Macaca mulatta: one gene and its partner. The protein of the gene in region 1 purifies or fractionates together with the protein of each later gene. This does not show direct contact. Links are inferred from orthologs where the notes say so. Each region holds a gene or a part of one and is shown on either strand. Other genes may lie near its edges.

Region 1 (4,129 bases):
AAGTCTACCGGTGAATACAACAGACAGCAATCCCTGCCCACAGGGTGTTTATGTTATGGTGGGTGAGGGAGTGGCAGGGCAGACAATAAGCGAGAAAAATGTAATAAGGTAGGGAAAGGGCATATGGAACGTTCAGAGAAGGGATTACACGTTTAAATAGGGTGATCAGGGCAAACTTGTAGCCGTGGTATTTCAAGCGCCTCAGGAAGGTGTCTTCTGTACTCTCAACCCCACCATCACTACACCTCAGCACCTTGAAGGAATGGCATGGTACATCCGGTTACTGGCACAAATATTTGCCAATATCTTATATTTAAGACAAAGGGAGCTCCAAGATCCAGACCTTGCCCTTAGAGAACTTACAGCCTTCCAGGTGGAAAAACAACTAAGCAGTGTTAAGGGCTGTACTGAGGTGTAAACAAAGTGCTTTAGGACACAGGATAACTGGCAATTCTGCTTGGGGGAAGAAGTATGTGTTCAGTAAGGCCGTTCCAAAGAAGGTGACTTTAGAACTCAATCTTGAGGGATGGATAGGAATTAATGTCAGGGGAATGGGCATGGGGGAGGAAAGTTAGCTTTTTAGGAAGAAAAAAAGGAACAGTTTGAGCAAGGTCCCAGAGCTGGGAATAGGGAGGACATTTTCTTCCTATCCCTGCCTGTGGTACTCCATCCATCCCATGACAAAACTAGCACACGATCACCCTCAAGCTCTCTGGTATGGCTGTCAGGAAATCCCTATCACTTATTTCTCCCCTAGCCAGCAGGAGAGGAAGAAATTGAGTCAGGCGCACATCCCTGGAATCCAGGGTTACCCTCCTCTAACTTCAAGACAATTACCACAGAGCTGAGAACCCGGGAGATTTCACTCATCTAGGTACACTCAGGGATGTGTACTTATAGTGGTAATGTGGCAACTGGCCCATGTCAGAAATGAAGTGGGTAAGACATCAGTAAGGTAAGTAGTCCATAGTCTCGGCAGTGAATCTAAGGGGGAATCAAGGAGCAAAACATATACTTGGAAGGAAATTTTTTAATCACTTAGTCCTCATTCATGAGCTATTCAGTGCTCCCAACATCCAAGACAATAGAGGTGGTGTGACAGGATAGGAACACAAGCTCTGCCTCCGAGATTGTGAGGGCAAGGCACTTACCCTCTAAGTCTCTTTTTCATCATAATATGGTTATAACTGTAGCACCTATTGTATAGAGTTACTGGGAGGATTGCATTTTTATGTAAAGAACTTATCACAGTGTCTGGCTCAATGGAGCCTAACAACCAGAGCCTAACAAGCTCAGAGAGCCGGAATGCTACATATACTCACAGATCAGTTACCCCAGAACAGGCCTCCGAGCTCCATTTCACTGCTCTGACCAAGAGTGAGACACCTGAAATCGTGTTAGCAGAAATGTTCATCCCCTGCCCAGACAGAGCCTCACAAGCCAAGTTGGTGTGCTTTTCTACTAGGGTGCTAAAAACCAAACCACCAAAAATGCGGAAAACTTCATCAAGGCCACATCTCTGCATTGAGCATTGTTCCCACAGCGACAAAAGTCTTAAGTCATTAATACCGCAATATTAATAGATTTATGAGAGGTGGGGGTGGGGAGCTTAAAGAGCAGAAAAGAAGCCAGTTAAATATAGGAGGTCCAGGATGTACAGAAGACTCATTTTTTGCCACAAATATACAAGGTCTAGGGTCAACCCTGCCAAGAGCAGTACTCTGGAATTTTACGTCCTCTAGTCCTGAAGAAGAAGGGTACTGGGGGAAGAAAAGCTTGGTTAATTAGAAACTCACCACTTTTCAAGCCACCAGAATTCTAACCAAATGATTTCACCACCCCAAATCCCATCTCAATGTTAAGGGTTGGAGGAACACCTTTTTCTGCCCCATTACAAACCATCACAGGAGACAGAAGCATTCTGTGCCCCTTCTGAGATCTCGGGGACCCTCCTCCAGTACCAGGTCTCTCACAGCCTGCTTGAAGAGCGGCAAGATAAACAGCTCCACAGCACGTAGCCAGGTCCCCAGCCCCAAGCGCAGAGGGAGCCCACTGAGGCAGGACTCCGGCCGACCAGCCTCCAGCCTTTACCTGTGGCTGACTGGCCAACGCCAGAGAAGCCGACGCCGAGATGTCGGAGGTCCGAAGAGAGTGCGGGTTAGCGACCCCGCTCGACGGCCAAGCGCTGCGAGAGAAACCCACGAAAAGGTGACTGCACGCCTTGGAGGGCGCAGTTCCCGCTAGGAGCTCGGCCCCGCCCCCGCCCCCAGGGCCAGCTCTCGGGAGGGGCACCAGCTCGGGCTGGCGGGAAAAGCCCGGGCACTCCGCGCGAGGGGAGCCGGAGAGGAGAGGGGAGGCGGCTCCCAGAGGGGCACAGCCCGCATTAGTGCTAGGTGGGTCAGGGAAGGGGCCAGAAGAAGCCCTAGAGAAAGAAAAGTGGCCGGGAGGGACCGCCCAAGCAGACGGGAGTCCAAGCCTGGGGGGTGCGGTCGGGAGAGGCGGACGGGGAGAGGGAAGACGAGGTCAGCTAGGGAGAAGGAAAAACTAGGGGAGCAGAGAGCAGGTAGGGAAGACGCACGACCCCGATATGGGGGTGGGGGCGCTTCAGCAGCGAAAAGGAGCTGGGGGTCCAGAAGGAGCCCCCAACCGAGGGCGAGGGGGCGGCCGCTGGCTGCTGACCTACCTGTCACCTGCAACAGGTGCCTCCAGAGAGCTAGACGTCCCAGTGCCGGTTTCGAGGGAGGGTCTCTGGCTCCGGGAAGATCGCCACCCAGCTCCGGCGGCCGGCCCTTCTCACCCTCCCGGGAGGCGGAAAAAGCTGCAACTTTCCCTGGAGCTGGGAGGAGCTGGACTCTTAAAGGGGCCGCACAGCGCCCCGGGCTCCTTAGTAGGGGGCCGCTCAGCCCGAAAGGGAGCTCTGGGACCCAAAGCCTTGAGACACAAGAGGAATGAATGTCCTTCCAGGTTAGGAGTGGGAGCCTAGGGACCGAGGATAGGGGTCTAACACTAGACGTGCCTCCCCACCCCCTTACTTCCATCTGTTGGTCGTTCCCTTAGATGGTGAAATCACCTGCCCCTTTCATTCTGCTGAGTCAAAAGTTGTCAAATTGTCTCACACTTCTAAGGAGATAAAAGAATATGAACTATCTAATTTGGGTAAGTAAAATATGATACCATTCTGATCCTTTAACTTATGGCCTTTTATGGCAAATTGTCTGTCTAAAATAGAAACGTTTTGGGCAAAGGAGTAGACTAAATTCACACATACACACTCAAGAACACAACTGGTTAAAATATTCAACTCACTAGTAATCAAAGAAAAGCAAATTAGAACAATAATGAGATTATTTGGCAAAGAGTTTTGTTTTTTATTTTTTAAATAACACTTAATGATGACAAAGTAGCCACCAAACAAGCTCTCATAATTGCTGATAGGAGCATATGTTGGTTAAAAACCCTTTTAGAAAGCATGTGAGCAGTATATATCAATAGACTTTAAAATGTTTATACCTCCCCAGTAATTGCAGATTCCCCTCCCTCTCTTTCCCATCCCTCTCCCCCTCATTTCACATCAGCAATTAAACATGCTCAAGTATCTACCATCTTAAAACAATATCCTCCCTACACAGGAGGTCCCTCTTCAGGTCCTCTTTATGGGCAAATGTATTGAAAACATACTTTACAGGTGAAATTGCAATTTTTATTCCCTTACGTCTCATTCATTTCTCAGCTCTCAGCAGTCTGGCTTCCTTCCCCCACTGAAACTTCTCAATGAGATAAAAAACCAATGACCCTCAGTGTCGATAAATCCACAAATAAGTAAGGTATTTTTGGTCCTTATTTTGCTTGACTTCTCCCCTACATTTAACACTGTTAACCATTTCCTCCTCCTTGAAATGTTCTATGGCATCTATGACATTATACTCTTGCTTTTCCTCCTACTCCTTTGCCCTCTCCTCAGTGACCTTTGTAGGCCACTCTTCTGCTATCTGACCTCTGAAAGTCAGACATTCTCAGGGCTAGGATACATATACTCCCTCCCCCAAATAATCTTTTTCACTCACTTGGCTTTAATTATCGTATATATGGTCACAACTCTAATTCTATAACTCTACCCAGACCGCTTTAT
Region 2 (2,681 bases), on another chromosome or scaffold:
GGGCACATGGGGGAAAAGCATGGTGGGGAGGATGGAGGGCCAAGCTTCAGGGTCTTTCTCCCTCGGACAAGGACACGGGTTCCACACCAGCCCGTCAGGGTGGAGCTGGGATCCTCCAAGCAATAACCTGTCCCCCTCTGGCTGCATCCTATAGGTCCACCCAGATCAAGACCTACTCGTGGGACAATGCCCAGGTGCTGCTGGTAGGAAACAAGTGTGACATGGAGGATGAGCGGGTGGTGTCATCAGAACGTGGCCGGCAGCTAGCTGACCACCTTGGTGAGTGCCCAGCTGGGCCAGAGACCCACAAGGCTAGAAAAAGGACACTAAGAAAGGGGAGGGCTCACACCCAAGGTCTTACAGCTAAGCCAGGTAATTCACACTTTCTGCAAACTAGCCTTCATCCAGGAGCCATTTGTGTCGGATCTTGAGGGATGTGTAGGAGTTCACCATGCAGAAAGTTTAAGGATTGATTCTGACACTCATTGTCCAACGCTTTGTTGGGTGTTGCTGGGCTCGAGAGGCATCTAGGGAGGCCTCAAGGGACCCCTGAGGTGGAGGGAGGGACCTGGATGAGAGGAGCCCATGAGAGGAGCCAGGCTTCCTGGAGTGGTGGGCAGTGGACTCTAGAGCTTGGAAGAAGGTCTTTCAGGCAGAGGAAGTAGCTTGGGCAAAGGCTTGTGGTGAGAAAGATCCTGTGTGTTTTGGTGATAATTTCACAAGACTGAAACATGAGGGTCAGCTGGAGGAAATGTAGCCGATCAGAGAGGGCCTCAACCATATGCTGAGAGGCTGGGACTCTTTGGAGGGCAATAGGGAGCCACAGAGGGTGTGTGAGCAGGGGGAGGTCACGGCTGGATTTGAGTGTCTGAGGCTTCCAGGGCCAGTCTATGGTGCTGGGCTGGATGCTGCAGGGCATGTCTTGCCAGGTCCTAAGGACAACGAGACACAGTTTTCGGAAGGAAGGGCAGGAGGCCAGGTGCACTGGCTCACGCCTATAATCCCAGCACTTTGAGAGGTGGAGGTGGAGGATTACTTGAGCCCAGGAGGTCGAAACTGCAGTGAGCTATGATCACGCCACCCTACTCCATCCTGGGCAACACAGCAAGGCCCTGTCTCAAAAAAAAAAAAAAAAAAAAAAAAAAAAAAGCAGGAAATGCAGAGCTGACCCAGTTCAACGTTGCTTCTCTGTGGGATTTGTCAGTACCTTCAATAACCTACTTGGCACTGGGAATCTCCAGTGTTTCCTTTCCTCAGAGAAGCATCTCTGGGAGTTGGCATAGGGCGTGGCCAGGGTCCTCATCTCTGCCTTCCCTGACCACAGGGTTCGAGTTCTTTGAGGCCAGCGCCAAGGACAACATCAACGTCAAGCAGACCTTTGAGCGCCTGGTGGACGTCATCTGCGAGAAGATGTCCGAGTCATTGGACACGGCAGACCCTGCGGTCACAGGCGCCAAGCAGGGCCCACAGCTCAGTGACCAGCAGGTGCCACCTCACCAGGACTGCGCCTGCTGAGAGCCACCCCAACCCCTTTCCCCTCTTTCCCGTCTTCCCCACCTTCCCCCAACTACCTGGGCCTGACCTGGCCCCTACCAGCCATGGGCACAAGACCCCTACTCCTGACTTAGCCCATCACCCTTATTTATTATTGTAGCTATTTATTTATTTATCGAAGATGTCCCCCAGGGGCCCGGGCTCCCCTGCCCACCCCAAGCCCTGCCCATCCTGTACATATAGCCCTTTCCCCACTCAGCCGTGGTGTCTCGTGGCCCTGTGAACTCACCACTCACCCTCCTGAACCCCCTCGCCTTTTTTTTAAATTCACCCCCAACCACAGTTGTCAGTTGTGAAGAGGGGGCCAGATGACACCCTAGAGCAGGCTGATCAGGCAATGGGAGGTGGCCAGGCCTGCCAGTCCCTCGGCTCTGCCGCGGTGGGCCAAGGCCGCTGTTGGGGGTTTCCCTGTGCGGACCATGGGGGTCAGAGGCTGGCCTGCCGGGCTCCTCTCCCCCAGTTTTCTCTTTTGGTGGGGGGCTGTGCTGTGGGTATTCACCACCCTGGGACCCCTCCCCCTACCCACCAGACCTGTTCTGACCTCATGAGTGTCAAACGTGCCCCCCAGTTCCTTAGGAGATGTCAAGACAACACTACACACACCCAATAAAGCGAATGGACCACGTGTGTTCCTGTGAGCACCGGGCCCTGCCCACCCTGGTTTTGACCATCCACAGCATTTTCTTTTGTTATTTTTATTTTTCAATATAAATAGAGACAGGGTCTTGCTATGTTGCCCAGGCTGGCCTCGAACACCTGGCCTCAAGCAATCCTTCCACCTCAGCCTCTCGAAGGGCTGAGATTACAGGTGTGAGCCACTGCGCCCAGCCAGCAGTTTCAGTTACATTACAGAGATAATTTAATGGCATTTCCATAGTTCACGACCAGGGAAGGAAACACAGAGGCTGCCCGGCCCTGCCTGAAACTTTTGGGGGCCGACTCCAGGCCTGAGCCTGCTCTGAGGGGATCGGCCACATCCCCGCCTTAGTCCCAGGACCTGAGGGAGCTCTGGATCGGTGGCTTGGCCCAGAGCCAGGTGGACGGCAGTGTTGAGGGGTTGGGGCTTGGGACTGGTTGGCAGGGTGAGCCCCGTGCTGAGTCCCAAGTGGGACATCTTGGTCACAGGT

Evidence for each region.
Region 2: the proteins of SYTL4 (region 1) and RAB3A purify together in Homo sapiens (affinity purification with mass spectrometry; 3 studies listed by BioGRID and IntAct, counting the BioPlex papers as one, with this or other methods). This does not show direct contact. The link is inferred for Macaca mulatta from reciprocal best matches to the Homo sapiens genes SYTL4 and RAB3A.

Annotation. Positions count from the first base shown.
Region 1 is NC_133426.1:107,583,290-107,587,418, forward strand, and holds the start of SYTL4 (synaptotagmin-like protein 4), read right to left. Parts: upstream 2,801-4,129; 5' UTR 2,684-2,800; intron 2,186-2,683; exon of another isoform or gene 2,092-2,185; intron 1-2,091. UniProt on the Homo sapiens protein: Modulates exocytosis of dense-core granules and secretion of hormones in the pancreas and the pituitary. Interacts with vesicles containing negatively charged phospholipids in a Ca(2+)-independent manner.
Region 2 is NC_133424.1:18,717,821-18,720,501, reverse strand, and holds the end of RAB3A (ras-related protein Rab-3A), read left to right. Parts: intron 1-154; coding exon 155-279; intron 280-1,324; coding exon 1,325-1,515; 3' UTR 1,516-2,181; downstream 2,182-2,681. UniProt on the Homo sapiens protein: The small GTPases Rab are key regulators of intracellular membrane trafficking, from the formation of transport vesicles to their fusion with membranes.